Arabidopsis thaliana: one gene and its partners. The protein of the gene in region 2 interacts with the protein of the main gene of each other region in a pairwise test. Each region holds a gene or a part of one and is shown on either strand. Other genes may lie near its edges.

Region 1 (4,914 bases), on a different chromosome or scaffold from region 2:
AAATTCTTCACATCTTCTGCAGAATATTCTCGTTGTCTCAAAGTACTACTCAAGGATTACCTTTAAGAGACTTGCAGAACTTTTATGCCTAACCACTGAGGTAAATATAGTTTCAAAATACTCTTAAGTGTACCAGTACATGTTTAAATCTCTTCTTACCGTTTCATTATATTTCAGGAAGCAGAGAAGCATCTATCTGAAATGGTTGTGTCCAAAGCCTTGATAGCAAAAATCGACAGACCATCAGGAATAATCTGCTTCCAGATTGTTAAAGACAGCAACGAAATCCTCAACTCGTGGGCAACAAACTTGGAGAAGCTTTTGGATCTTGTTGAAAAGAGTTGTCACCAAATTCACAAAGAAACAATGGTTCATAAAGTTGCACTAAGAGCTTGAGAACCCGGTCTAGCCACACACATCGGTGGAAAGAATCTTTCAGGCTCTCGTTCTAACATAATCATTTGAGTTTTCTTTCTCTGCTTGGTTCGAACACATTTTTTTTGTGTTCTTTAGGAGACCTTGCAAGATTATATACAAAACTCTCTTTTTTTTCCTTTCTCCATGTGGTCTTTTTAATGTTTGTTACAATGAAACGAAATTATAATGCAAAAATATAATAAATTAAGAAAAAAAGCATGAGAGGATGAAAGCAGAACAATACAAACAACCTAAACCCTATAATATTTGGAAAAATAACTCTATAACATATAATCATTTTCCTGTTTTCTATTACTCTATAGTGAAACAAATAAAATGAAGCAAGTCATCAGGAGGATGGACTATTATTGTAGTTATTACTAGTCTTGTCTGATGGCCATTGTATATCCTGGAGATAACCGGTTTCGCTAGCTGATTCTGGTGGCGGCTGAACAGCAGCCGGGGAAAACAGAGGACGAGAATGAGATGATGATGACGACGTAGATTGCATCATTGAACCTCCAGTGTGACCGAAACGCAACGGAAACGACATTTGATCGTATAAATCCAAAGATTGTTGATGATGTTGCTGAAACTGTTGTTGTTGACGAGCCATTTCAGAGTAACTCAAGTTGTATGATTGCATCAACGGCTGCGAATGAACGCTTTGATTCGAAGCAGGTCTTATGGGCAAAAGGGTAGTCGTTGAACCCGAGTTCCTTGACTGGGTCGGTCTTTGAGCAGCGGTTTGGTGCACAGGTTGTGCTTCGGTTGAAGCAGGTCTAACGAGTTTGACGTTTTCAGGGAAGTTGAGTTTGGCTTTGTTGCCTCTAAACCGAAGTGCAGCTTCGTCGTAAGCTCTTGCTGCTGATTCAGCATTGTCGAACGTACCGAGCCAAACTCTAGCTGCTTTAAATGGATCTCGAATCTCAGCCGCCCACTTTCCCCATGGTCTTTGTCTAACTCCTCTGTATCTTCGCCGAGGTTGGTCCCCACTAAACGACGACGTTTCGCTACTAGCAGTTGCCGTAGTTGTATACTCGTATGTTGGGCCCGGACCTGACATGTTACTCGAAGCTTCTCTCACTGCAAATAAACAAACAAACATGTAAAATTTCACACTTTTGTTGTCACTCGTGAATTAACACTTTCTTACATAAGAAAAAGAATCGATAATATTAATGTCTCCAATAAAGATATTATAAAGTTTTTTTTTTAAGAGCGAGTATGAGAAAGTGATGAGGCAAATGGGTGACAAAAGGAATGAACAAGTAGAAAAAAAAAGGAAGTGGAAAACGACTCTTGATGCAATTGGAGGGAGATAAATTCTTTTGGCATATCATCATCATCATCATCATTTTCTTAATTAAATATCCAACCTTTTTACAACAATTCTAAAGTATATGTCTTAAGATAATCAAGTACAGTTTCGTTATTATATTTATTTTTGTCAACACTTCGAAATATTTATTTACATCTTTACGCTAATTACTATTTTTTATTCCTCATTTTTCTTTATATTTAAATTATTATAAAGTATATCTAACTTCGCCATATTTTAGAAAACGATAAAAGAAAAGAATAAAAAAACTAAATATAAGACATGTTGCTTTGTAGATTGCGTGAGGACAACAAAAGTGCAACTGTATTTAGATTTTGTGTTACAAACATTTGATGTGACTCATACCTTGATGTATATACTACATCATAAAATTATTGAAAACATTTATCAAATAGAATGATCTTATAATTTAAATGTTTTATGTTTTGTGGATACACAACCGAAATATGTAAAATTTTATCAAAATGGTGTGTACTAATGTGGTTTAAATCCGAAACAGGGTACGTGTGTTTATAGAGGACAAAATAAAAACCCAACAAAACTAACCTTTAGAAGTAGAGCTACCACCGGAGAAATATTGATCAACCGTCAAAGTATTAGCTGCCTTAACCGCTTTGGCGCCACCTTCCTCCACCTCTCTCCTCCTTTTCTGCCCCGAGGAAGAAGACGAATTCGAAGTCCCTTCTCCGCTACCTTCACCGCCTCCTTGTTGATGCTGAGGAACATTTCCAGCAACAACGTGAGTCAAAGCAGAGACAATAGCAGACATCTCCATCTCTCTACTGAAACCTGAGATAAGAGATGAGGACGACGACGATGGAGGCGGCTGCTGCGTAGGGAAGCTATGACGGTGGTGGTCGTCTTCGGCTGCGAATAAGTAAAGCCATTGATCGATTTCAGATAACGTCCGATGATCATCGTCTCTAATAGACTCGGCTTTTTTGCCAACGTTATCTTCCTGATTTGCCACTTTTAAGACACACATACAAAACCCTCCTTCTAAATCCTCCTCCTCTGAAACTTAAAGCTTATAAACGCAGAGAAAATTAAATTTAAAAATATTCTTTTTCTTCGAGGGAAAGAAAACTCTGTAGAGAGAGAGAGAGAGAAACAAGAAACAGAGACAAAGAGGAAGAAAGAAAGACAGAGATTTTAGAAGATGTGTTTTTTAAGACAAAGGACGAGGTTTAGCTGATAGATATACAAATTTAATTTTCTTGTGTTAATTACTTTGTATGGTTTCAGCGCCGCCAAATGAAAATGAGTCGGCTTCTCTCTGTACCCGTGTGAACTGGAAACACGCAGTTTTTTTTTTAATAACTAATGTTTATATATATATATATATATATATAATATAGCAAATAGCTATTTTTATAAATTTGATCTATAACAGAAGAAAATTTGGTTTTGATGATTTAACTCAATTTGAACAAATTTTGTAAAAAATTGGGTCCTATTATATGAAACGTATCTGAATCTTTTCGCAACTTGTGAGTAATTATATATTTTTGTAAATATACTATATGCGACCTATACTCTATGAACAGTTCTGAAGAATACTTTAACAAGTCTAGTAAATTAAATAAATAAGGTAATGAATTAATTATGTATATTAGCTCTGTGTCATAAGACAACTTGCATAGTAAAAACTTTAAGAAGTTATAAACACTGTTAAAATATGGAGGCATTCAGAAACGATTATTAATTACTATATTTACGGTTCGGTGCTGAAAAAGAGGTAAAACCATTAAATGGAATATTTATAAAATAAGATTATTTTTGCATTTTGTCTAAACGGTGAGCTTGAAGGTCAAGTTGAGAGACGAGCCGTTCCGTACGAATGCGCGTGTGTTGCACGTGTCGGTTCTGGTCGACGTCAGATGCTCCGTTTGTGGACGGTGTCGGTGATGGTAAGGCTAATGCTCGTGACCGTTTGGGCCTCACCCTACGGCCCACTTGTTTCAACCTTCGTCTCTTATCTTTGACCGTTTGACCCACACCTTGTATTATTTTCTTCGTTTTCGATTTTTCAGAAGAAAATAATAGAAACGCATTGTTCAGAAGAAAATAGAAAAAAAATAGAAACGCATTGTTCAGAAGAAAATATGATTTTAGGATTTGTGATGTGTTTTTCTTTTAACTATAAGAGTTGTTTTCTTATTCGCCCGAATCGAGTCTAATAGAGGCTGCACAAAAACTTTTTGGTTAAGAAAAACATATTGTTGTCCATATTTGCAATTAAGCTCAGGATGGTTCAGATTTCAGAACTTGCAGATATGTACTCGTAGATTCTAGTCTGAACGCAGAATAATTATTATATTGATATCTTTTGGATTTTCTATTATTTTTTGGTTGAGAGTTAACTTGAGGATAATCTCGAAACGCATCGTTGGACTTTTGTTTTTAACCAATCTAAGCAATTGTGCTCACAAGTTGACGTAGTTGTTATTTTTACCTGTTATACACGAGACATTTTCGTATTGTTAAAAAGTCGCAGATTTAACGAAGCTAATAATACATAATTTGCAAAGATGGGAGAAAAAAAAACGATTGTTATTGATGTGACATTTTTCTTAGGCTGATGCTCAAGTCTCTATTAACTAATTAATTAGTCAGTGCGACAGTTTATTTTCTTAAAGAAGCTGAACAAAAATATTGTACGACAGTATAATTAATCTGGATAAACCACGACAAAAAAAAAAAAAAAACTGGATAAACCTTTTCACCGGTCATTTCCCTTTTTAGAAACTAAGATGCCCTGTTTTATACTAATCCAGTTTAATTATATTCCACTAAAACATACAGTAGCTTTTAATCACTTAGGCGATAAAAATACCTAAATATGTCTATCAAATAAAAATTAGTAGTAAAATAAAACAAATTTAGAGATCGAGTCTTCAAAGATCAATCCAAATACGGAAACATAGTGATTATTAAATAAATTTATGTTTTCACCATGCTTGTGTGTGCCTATCGCCTAACCTAATCCCTATTTAAGTTCGCATCAACGCGTCAATTAAGCATTCAATTCGGATTAGTTACGTATTATTATACGAATATGCATCCAACTTGTAAATATTAAACTTGTTTAACATGGCAAAACCGGAGAACGAGGCGTGATCAGTTTAATTTAAGTTAAGGCGTACGATAATGTC
Region 2 (3,243 bases):
TTTCCATGATTTTTAAGCCCAGCAAATCATAATCTGGCTCTTGAAATTTACGAACCCAAAAATCAAACCTCCAAATGATATTGGGCCTTTTAACTGGTCATACTTTGATCGCTACTTCTACTTCTAAACTTCAACTTTCAGTTCATAAAACCCAGATTTGACTTTCATTTACTCTCCTTTATTTTTTATGCATGTAATATACTATCACATTTTTATAATCATAATTTGTTTTACAACATCAAGGCTATGATTGATTCATATGAGCTCACATGGGTCTGCAAAAATGTAGTTTCTAAATTTGGAAGGCTTTTCAAATGGTGTAAATTATAAACTTCACCAACCTATTATTAAAACGCATATAATGTTTATCCCATTGCAGTTCGAATTCATTCATAATATAAGTTTAAACTTACTTTATAATGTAAATTCATACAAACCCACTTGAAATGTAAATTCATGTAAAATATTATACAAGAGAATGATAGATAGTCTTTGATTATACAAACCCAAATTTCATACAACGTAACTAATTATTAGAACATATTACGCAAAACTACTTGATCTATAGATCTACACTAATATATAGTTATGGAAAAGAACAATAATCCTGTACTATACAAACCCAACTTCAGACAACAAGAACATTTTTTTTTCTTTTTGAAAAAGGTATAACAAAAACATTACTCAAATTAACCTATTTGATCTATAATTTTTAAGTGAAAAATATAGTCTTGAATTATACAAACCCAAACTTCATACGATCATGATAAAAACATGACTCCAAGTCCAACATATTTTGATCATACTACATATATATTGAAAACATATATAAACACCACAATAAACATCATGCACTATACGGTGATTAACTTTCAACTATATATATATATTGTATATGGTTACGTGGATCGAACGTGAGGGAAACCGCTGCAAGCTTAATGATGACGATGACCGCCGAGTCGAAGATCAAGATCAAGATCACCATCTTGAGGTTGAGAACCTCCGGTCTCTGGTGGGCTCCGGTGAGTGTCATCATCTTCATTCATGGATCCGAGCCCTAAGCTCAAATTAAGATCATGAGACGCCCCTTGAGCAAATCTCCCTCCTCCTCTTGATGATGATGATGATCCAAAGTATTGTGTGTTGTGGCTAGGGTTAATAGGTGGCTGAGACCCTTGGTGTAGGTATGACTCAATGGTCGGAAAATAAGGAGGAGGGTTTGTGAAGTTTGTGGAGGAGGAGGGAGACTGAGATGGTAACGGAAGAGAAAATGGAAATGAGTGAGAAGAAGAAGAGGAGGAGGGGTATCTTTCGCGTTCCCTGCGGTGGATGTTATTGTGACCACCGAGGGCTTGAGGATTCGTGAAACCTCTCTTGCAGATGTCGCAGTCATAAGTCCGGCGGTTTTCTCCAGAGCCAGAGCCGGAATCAATTTGTTTGTCCCGGTGGTTCATCTCTCTCTTCTTCTTCTGTTGGGATCTCTCTCAAGTCTCAGTATTCAATGTTTTGAAAATGAGTGTATGAAGCTTCTTAAAAACACACACCAGCGTATATATAAGCTAAAGGAAAGATTATGTGTGTGAACGGACACTAATTAGGGCTAAATTGTTTTATCAATGGTTAATATATATACTTTAGGGTCTTTAATGTACTTAATTACGGGGGTGTGTATTATAATTAAATTCGTGCGTCTAATGTAACATGAATTAATAACTACAAAAACGTCATGCTTAGAATTATTTTAATTAGTTTATTTTCTAACAATTTTCAGGGAAAGTTTAACAAAGGATAATATAATAGATAAAGTTGAAAAATATTCTTCATAGGAAAACAAACTACAGAAGGTGTTATTTATAAGGTTTCGAGTGACTAGTTAGGGTAGCTAGTTTCTCTCTATTCAATTTCATTTTTGTTCAAGAAAAATATAAAGTTGTTCATCTTTGAATATAGTACAAAAAAGTACTTATTTGTTTGGATCGAGAGTAAAAATTGCAAAGTAAAATTGTAAAAATTGGAAGGCTAGTAGGAGCTAGTGAAATATTAAAGCTTAGTTAAATTTAATCTAATATAGTGTGAAATATATTTTGAATGTGAACATGTAATACCTACAAAATAATAAAACCAAATTTTTTAAAAGAAGCATTCACTAAGGAGTTGTGGACTTGTGGTTGTGCTTAAAGTAGGTAAAACAATTAAGAATATACAAATTGCTCTCATTAATTAAATAGCATTTATGAAATTTATTATGAGTTCTCCCCAAAACTGAAATTGATTTCGATGGTTTCTATACTTAGAAAAATATGCTTTAACAAAAACAAAATAAAACTTAGAAAAAAATACGATCGATGAGCGATCGCCTGCTACTCTTAGGATTGCTAAAATTAATATTTTACTGTATTCAATTTCAGAACCGACAAAATAATATTCACCTCCATAAACTTACTTCGTTCACACCGGTACCCTTTAACTTCTATGGACCGATTGAAACCGCGTTTTATAAGTTCGGTTTTAGCTATTGCCATATCGTTTTTTAGGATATAATAGAACGTTTAACGAATCACGATGGATCAAAACTCTCTATATATGCAATGGAAAATAATTATAGCCTCAAGAAAAATGATATTATGGAAGTTGAATAGATTTGTTATTATGTAGGCTGACTTCCTTTTGGCGTAGTCTCTTTTTAGTGAGATCATGCAGATAATATATAGTAAAACAAGTATACCATTATGTTTTATGGATTTAGATAAAGAACTATTGTCATTCGTTTTCTATAAGCTGATCAGGAGCATTAATGTTTTATAGGATTTCGAGAACATGTGAGAATCCTACTGACTTAAGAATATTCACTAGTGAATTTATAACAGACGAAAAAGAACTTTGGGACTACAGCTCATCGTAGACTTTAGCCTCCTAAAGCTACATTTATTTCTTTCATCAATAACATTTGTTTCATAAAACCCGCACGAACAAATATTCTAAATTGGCATGTGGATAAGAAACAAACTCGGTCAAGGTAAGGTCTATATAATTAAGCTTGATAAAAGAATCATACGGAAAAAATATCCACCAACAGTTTCAATATTTATATGTGTGTTTGGACTTGCGGGTGATATACAACATTAATAGTAATAAACTGAAAGAATAGTGTATGCATATATAGAAATGCTCTATGTAGTGTTGGAGACACTACAAAAAAAAGGTTGTTTTACATCATTTATTATAAATATTTGCATTAGTTAA
Region 3 (3,468 bases), on a different chromosome or scaffold from region 2:
TTAGGCCTAACAGAAAACTGAACGTATGGGACAATTAAAACATTTCATACTAATATAATATTGACTGCAACAGTTGTTATTGATACTGATTATAGTATATCTTTAGGTAATCAAAGCTTTTCAACGGACTCATGCTCACTATAATATGGAATAAACCTGTACTTTTGAGGCGGCCATAGTACGAATTGGTACGTGCACGTCAGCTCGTGTGTATATATTATGGGTTATATGTGTCTACATAATGGACTTTCATCAAATAATTTTGTTTTTAATAAACCATAGGAGTTTCAGGTTTTTGGTCTATAATCTTACCTATTTTTCGGAGTTAGTCTTATTCCAATTTAACGAATACCACAACGAAAACCGAAGACGAAGCACAAGGTAACCACCCTTTTTTCTAAGTTTTTATAAGATAACATTTTTTTTTCTTGGATTGAGTTTTTTCCTTGGTTTATATTTATTTCTCGTATAAACCATATGATACTATCTGACTGACAAGGAACCAAAACATTACATATATATTGAAAATTTGAATTAATCATATTGGTATTTATGACATCATCATTGTTAAGAGATTACAAATTGAACCCAAGAAAAACAGTAAGGGTCGAAAATTTATTATACTTTACTGAATATAATCGAAAAACCTTGGTTGATGATATGACATTATTAAAAAAAAAATCAAATGGTTAAGCAATTAAGCGAACGTATATCAATTATTAGAATTCCATATGGACTGAAATTGCTGCATTTCAAAAAACTCATCCCTATCGTGCTGACCAAAAAATTGTCCGTATAATTCTTCGTAGTCAGCAACTTCCAAATCCTGCATCCACCCCATCCTCGGCGAGTCTAATGGAGACTCATTAATCGCTTGAATCTGATCCGGAGACAATCCTACTCGAGAAAGTCCTTGACCAGACTCGAGAGCTGGTTCACTCAACCTACCTGGTTTAAACATAAGTGCTGCATCTTGTGCAGCCGCTTGAATGTGCTCCGAACTAGAGCTTTCCGGCCGAGGAAAACTGTCGACGAGTTCCGGAAAGTTGAGATTGGTCCCACGTCCTCGGAGGTGAAGAGCCGCAGCATCGTAGGCCGCTGCAGCCATCTCGGCCGTCTCGTAGCTTCCAAGCCAAATCCTTGTTTTCTTACCGGGTTCTCGGATCTCCGATACCCATTTGCCCCATTTCCTCCGACGAATGCCTCTGTAGGACAACTGGTTAACGTTGAAGCGGTAATCTCGTTGGCCAACGTAAGTGTTTTCCATAATTAATACAAGGTTATTTTAGTAGCACTATATTGTGTGTGTGTGTGTTTGTGAGTGTATATAGAACTGTGCGAATTAGTTTAGAAGTTTTGAGTTATAGAGTCAGTGGTTAAGTGAAATTGTATATATAGAGAAATAAAGAAGACAATAAATGAGGGAATAGAATTTGTGGATGGCTTGTTTGGTTTCAGGTGAAGTGAGCTTCCTACGTAGTTACTTGTGAAGTGGAAATATGCTGTCATGCATGCATGGGTCTCTATTACTTACATGGATATTGTACATTAGCAAAGCTGTCTTTAAGCGTGTACAAATAGTGTGTTGTGTGTATTTGAAAGAAAACGCTGATTGAATATTATTTTTTTGATTGAAGACAAGTTTGATATTTATATGATTTGGGTTCTAAATTTTTTTAGAAATATTTTTTTACACATCAAATATGTTTTCAGTAAAAACTTTGTACATGCCTTCCAAGAAAATTGACATGGCCTTGATAAATATATTTCATATTTGGTATATTCTGGGCCTTAGTTAGATTATAGATATTTAACTTGATCAAAAAGTTCAAAATATTTAAACTTTTCAACTAGGAAATAGATTTCATAGTTCATACTGAGATAAATTAGTGTTTCATATAAAAGATCAATTATTTTAAGTCAAAGTAGTATATTGTGTTTTGTTGTTGTAAGACCAAATGAAAAGAAAAGCAATTAGTCCTTTATATCATGTGTTGGTTAGAACTTTAGGTTCTCGTACAAAAGTCCATATATGCCATATCTCAAGAGTCTTGACAGCAAATATGATAGTAACATTATGTAACTGCCCATAGAGTCATAGACAATTAAGTTGACCAAAATAATGAATTGTTCATAACGAAGAATTGGGGAAAGAAACCCATCTAAATTAACCAAAATTTGATTTTATGAAATTCTAAAACCCGACCAGCAGAAGATCGATGCTCTGTCTCCAAATAATTTCTTGATGTGTAGTAAAACCTCATGAGCCAAATTCCAACCCTAAATAGTTAAATGGCTGCATAATGGTCACCACCGCCACTAAGGCACTAACAACCACACCGTATCGAATTGTGGAAATCCGTACGGTCCATCCGGTGGTCAAAAAAATACTTTCAGTCTTAATCTCACCGCCCATTATATATTGTTGCTTATCTACAAGATTTGGATCCTACATAAGAACTCAACAAGTATAACAAAGTTTTGCTTTCCAGTCTATTTTTTGAACTTATACGTTCCTTGGTTCAAGAACTCATGTGTGTAATTTAATATTATTTGCAAAGAAACATAATTAAGAATTGAATAGTTTAACGTATATAAACATGAATTAAGAATTGAATAGTATAACGTATATAAACATGAATTATGATATTATTTCATTCTTTTGGTCAACTTTCCTTGTCGTTGTGGGTAGTGAAAGTTATAAAAAAAACTTCTATGCAAAATAAATTAAAATAGTAAAAACTAATTGAAACCCCAGGAATTAAAATTTAATGGAAAAATATGTGCATAGAGCAAATTAACAATCATCAATAATAATGGAAAGAGAAATGTAGATGAATTTTTCGGCAAGGAGCCAAGTCTTCAAAGCGGAAGAGGATGGAAGAACAAAGATGTGATGAGATCTTTGAGCTTGCCATTGGGATTGGTGAAATTATCACCCTCCTCGTAATACAGATTGACCAATCGTACAATGTTGAAGCACCGGACCAGAATCGGACGTGACACACTTTTTATCGTCAAGAACTCTTCCATCATTATCTTGTAATTATCTCTAATCATCTTCTTAATTTCTCGAACCGCCAATTCCTTGGTAACATTATGTTGCTTAACGTAACAGTTCACCCCATTAACCACTTCTCCTCTCCTCATCTCCTCCTCGAAGCCGGCTATGTCGTTTGTAAGACGAAATATAACACTTAAAGCTCGTAACATTTTGGGTTTGGATTTGAACCACGCGTTCGTTTGATTCTCCTCACAATCTTCCATCGATATAAAGCTGTACATTGCAAAGCATCTAATCCCTGACGAGTCAAGCCCAAGCTCAATATAGTCATCAAAGGTTGGAACGTGACCTGCTCGTGCCCATTTTGATATTTCAGCGTACGCTCTCCCCATGATCTTAATCTGCAAAATTCTCAATATTAAACACAAACATTAATTTATATGGACATTGATTAAAACTAAACC
Region 4 (4,596 bases), on a different chromosome or scaffold from region 2:
TCAACATGTATGTAACTAAAGTTTTTTTTTTATTTTTAAAAAATGATATTTGAGACGACGAAATTTTACTTGCATATTTTTAAGAGTTGATACCATCTTTAAGTGCTCTAAGCAATATGTCTCATTGTCTCGAGCATGCAAGATTTCATGAACACTTCAACTCTGAGTTTAGATGAGAGGGCCAAATCCAAATTAATAATTTATTTAGAGTAAAATAATTATTTGATGTTCACTTCATATACACATCATGCATCAATCTCTATTTCAACCCATTAGTTAAATAAGTATGTAATGAATTTCTTTGGGATATGTTATCAAATACTCATAATGTTTTTAATAATGCGGTGATATTATAAAACTTAATTGATGATCATATATGGTAGATTATAAGTGATCGTATGGGAGTTATTAAATGAACCAGGAACCACATAAACTTTTTGCTAAACTCATGTTGTTGTTTTTCTCTTCTTTGCTCTTATAGTCTTATCTAAATCATGCTTCTGTGTAACAATATATATGTTTTTGATATTATTAATTAAGCAGTTTTTTTTTTGTTTTGTAAAATCATACATCACAATAAAATTAAACCAATAAAAAAATGGAAAAAAACCCGGAAAACCTTTAATTTTGTTTTGAATGATTAGTTTATGTTTATTATACATTACATTCATTAATAAACCCATGAAATGCCTACTGTATGAGCCACTTGTTGAGCTCGTCAAAACTACACAAAGTTTCAAACGTATCTCCGCCGTTGAACCAATAACCACCATTTGTCATATGATCCAACGTTCCAAATTCCACCTGATCACCACCGTAGAAACTCGATCTCACAGCCTCAGACGACGACGTTGATGACGTGGCGGTGGCGACGCTGGAGTTCTCAGGCGAGTAGTGGTTAGAGGTAAATTGGACACTTTGAGTGGCGGCGATTCTCTCGATGAGACGAGGCATCCAGAGATGTTTGATGGTGTCTTTGAATTGCTTGCTGTTCACGTCACATTTTAGAAGTTTTGCATGCTTTTGAACACGTGTTCTCCAATAATTCTTTATCTCGTTATCTGTTCTTCCCGGTAAATGTTGAGCAATCTTTGACCACCTTCACAATAGAAAAAATATCAAAACTAACTCCATTATTAAAAACACGATTAATTTTATAGAACATCGTAATTAAACTCTCATTCCGTTTTTTATTAGAATCATTTATACATACAAAAAATATATTAAATTTCTAATATACTTTTTGTACGTATATTAATTGTTTTTGTTAAAACCGACTCTTGCTAAAAATATTATTTATAATGAATCGGAGGGTTTAATTATTTATAAGTTCTATTGTAGTACTAGATTAATCAGTTTTTTTAGTGTTACTCTGATAAAAAAAGACGTTGATGTGTACCTTAATTTCAACTATGATACAAGTTTCATATAGTAACCACAATTCAACCAAGAAATTTCAAATACGCATCAAATTGATTTTGTCAATTATCTACTAATACAATATTGAATAACGAGTTATTTATTTCATAGAGACGTTCCAAATTTGCTCTCTTCAACGATATGTGTCCCTTTTTCTATTTTAAGTAATGTATCGACAATATGACTATGTCTATGTCGATATAAATAAAGGTTTCATACCGATTTCCCCAACGAGAATGGAGTTCAAGGATGATAAATTGTTCTTGAAGGGATATGTCTCCACGGCGGATATCCGGCCGGAGATAATTTAGCCACCGCAATCTGCAACTTTTCCCCGTTCTATTCAGTCCTGTCTCAATAGTAAATGATTTCAATATAAATACAATTAGTATAAAAACATGAATTAACTGGAATGTACACTAGTCAATAGTATATGGACACTAGTACAATTTCCCAAATCAATAAAGATAACAATTCCATGAGGCTGTATGGAATTGGATGGTTGGGAAAGGTGTTTGAGTTCCACACTCAAAAGGCTAATATGAAAAGAACTCCAAAGGAAAAAATAAATAAATTTGGACCGACCAAACTGTTTCATACGAAAGTACACTTTTAATGATAATAATGAACTATGAATATGTCAACTTGTTCTTTCTTACTTTACCAATTCTACAGAGGAATTTAAATTATGCCGACATGGAGAAGTCACAGCCATAAGAAAAGTATTCTCATAGTTACGAAAAATCACATTCATATATGTATATCACTCACATATGATGTGATAGAAATTGAATAACATATTGATAAGATGTGGACGAGTTTTTATATCTACTCCATTTAATTTCAGTTAGTTATAAATAAACTCTAAACTAAACTTCACATGATCATATTAAAATCCACAAAATCCAAAACGAATTTCTAATAAGAAAAAAAAAAGTTTCAGTCTAAATGTTTAAAAAACAAAAACGGACTACTTGTTTGACATATAAAGAATCCTTCAATACCAAACTTTAACCATTCAAATCAATGATAGTTTAACAATCACTCTAGAGATATGATATGGGCATATAAGGATTTGTTATGATGACTTCAATTGATCTGAATCGATCGATTTACGCATTACATATTATATATCATGCATGATCACATATTCTGTATATATATATGCAAAAGGCTTAAGAAGTTACCAGCAGAACGAGAGAGGGAGTTCCATCTTCCTTCACCGTGAAGAGAAATGTAACTGACGAGCTTCATGTCTTCTTCCACAGTCCATGGACCTCTCCTTATTTCTATTTCCATCTTTTTCTCGACTTCTTCGACTTCTTCTTTATGATTTATAAGGGTTTTACAGTTTGCGAATTCTGTTCTACTTATATTCATGCTTTGAGATTCTTAGAAACTTGTGAGAAGATTGCTCTGAGAAAGATTTTAATTAATGAGGGAGAGAGTTCTCGGAATGGACATAAAGTGATCGAGTTTTCAGGGTGGGTTTTATAGATTTTTTTTTGTTTTGTTTTGTATATATTATAAATAAATACCAAGCATTTGAAATCGGCATGTTAATAGATAAATTATTACCCGAAGATATTAGTGGAATTTTCGCAAAATAATAATTTCTAAGTAATAGTATAAGAGTTCTTAGTTTCTCCTTAAGCACATGCTATAGTTAAGAGTTGGATAAGCTATCAAGTAAGTAAAAGTAACCGAAGAAGTAATTTAAATTAACATCATTTATTTATCGATATAATTTAGTTGATGCAACAAACCCTTTTTTCTGTAGTATATAATTTTGTTTAGTTTTGATTCAGGTTTCCTTTTATTAAACCAAACTAGAATTTAACCCTCAATATAACACGGGACAATTTTGTTTTCACATAATCTTAACTAAATTAGTGTAATTCTACATATTTAATATTAGTGATGTTAATCAAATAATAAAATGAGAATTTCACCGTATTATAATGTCGGTTAATGATACTTTTAATTTTTTTAATGTCGATTTAAACTCATTTTTCATATACCCAGTCTCAAAATATAACATGTACTGCGTTATTTTAGACTTTTATATATATTCATTTTATTTTAAACTTTATACTGAGTTTAAATATATCAATTATAATATTTCAAAACTTTCAAAGCTTAAAATTTACTATATCCAGTAAAATTAAACAGTTCAATTAAAAACAGAATTAAACCATATACAAACTTTTAAATTTAGATACTTGTTAAGTTAAACTTCTTGTTTATTTAGATTTAGATTTATTTATAACATGACTCTTAATCATTTTCTAAACATTTTAGCCCATGTGAAATTGAGACGTTGAACACACTTTTTTATTATTTAAGTAATATATATGTCTAATTCTAAAATTTTGAATCAGAATATAGGTAGAAAATAGTTTATTATTAACTTTATATGATGATTCAAAACAAATAGAAAACAAAATCAAACAAAGATGATTGCGAATCATTATTTTAATTCTTAACACAATCTTTTAATATGTATTACTAATTTTGGAACATTATATGTATATTTCAAATTTTATAGTTAATGTTAAAAACAATCAATTGATTTGGTTATACGGATAATAAAAATTAATAGTAAAGTTATTTGAATACATGAATATAAGTAATGACATTCTCTGTTAATATTTATCAAAATAAAGGTGTTTTTTAAAGTATACTTCAAAAATAATACTCCCCCTATTCTTTATTAATTGATTTTTAGAGAAACAAAATTGTTTCAAAAAGATTGATTTTTTAGGTTTCTATGCACTATTTATTAGTTATTATTGATGAATTTTAAACTTCAAGACAAATAATTGAATATCATTAGTTTAGAATTATTAAAAAATTAAATCACAAAAATTAAATCAATATGTTTACTTAATCTGTGATTGTTTCTAGAAAATCAATAAAAAGGGACAAAAGGAGTAATTTTTAGTCATGATTTCAATTTGATGCAATTTTGGTTTAATTTATTTTGACTTACGGTTTAGATTCGGTTTGGTTTTGATAAAAAAAGTTAGAACATATATAAATACAGATTGATGAAAGAAACTAGTTAAATTTTTTGAAGTTACTAACTTTTTTGGGTTTTCTTTAGTTTCGGAACTCTTGGTTACTTTTTTTTAATGGTTTTAGCTATAAATTTTAGTTTTTTTAATTAGAAATAGA

Evidence for each region.
Region 1: the proteins of URO (region 2) and ABR1 interact in a two-hybrid assay, tested with the Arabidopsis thaliana proteins (one large-scale study listed by BioGRID).
Region 3: the proteins of URO (region 2) and AT1G33760 interact in a two-hybrid assay, tested with the Arabidopsis thaliana proteins (one large-scale study listed by BioGRID).
Region 4: the proteins of URO (region 2) and MYB112 interact in a two-hybrid assay, tested with the Arabidopsis thaliana proteins (one large-scale study listed by BioGRID).

The regions. Positions count from the first base shown.
Region 1 is NC_003076.8:25,889,509-25,894,422, reverse strand, and holds ABR1 (Integrase-type DNA-binding superfamily protein), read right to left. Parts: upstream 2,975-4,914; 5' UTR 2,745-2,974; coding exon 2,306-2,744; intron 1,504-2,305; coding exon 767-1,503; 3' UTR 535-766; downstream 1-534. Other genes in the region: RPN5B (regulatory particle non-ATPase subunit 5B), read left to right, coding at 23-100, 178-396.
Region 2 is NC_003074.8:8,248,790-8,252,032, reverse strand, and holds URO (C2H2 and C2HC zinc fingers superfamily protein), read right to left. Parts: upstream 1,515-3,243; 5' UTR 1,455-1,514; coding exon 936-1,454; 3' UTR 550-935; downstream 1-549.
Region 3 is NC_003070.9:12,235,743-12,239,210, reverse strand, and holds AT1G33760 (Integrase-type DNA-binding superfamily protein), read right to left. Parts: upstream 1,665-3,468; 5' UTR 1,268-1,664; coding exon 713-1,267; 3' UTR 501-712; downstream 1-500. Other genes in the region: AT1G33750 (Terpenoid cyclases/Protein prenyltransferases superfamily protein), read right to left, coding at 2,863-3,405.
Region 4 is NC_003070.9:17,703,579-17,708,174, forward strand, and holds MYB112 (myb domain protein 112), read right to left. Parts: upstream 2,883-4,596; 5' UTR 2,800-2,882; coding exon 2,607-2,799; intron 1,769-2,606; coding exon 1,639-1,768; intron 1,100-1,638; coding exon 691-1,099; 3' UTR 554-690; downstream 1-553.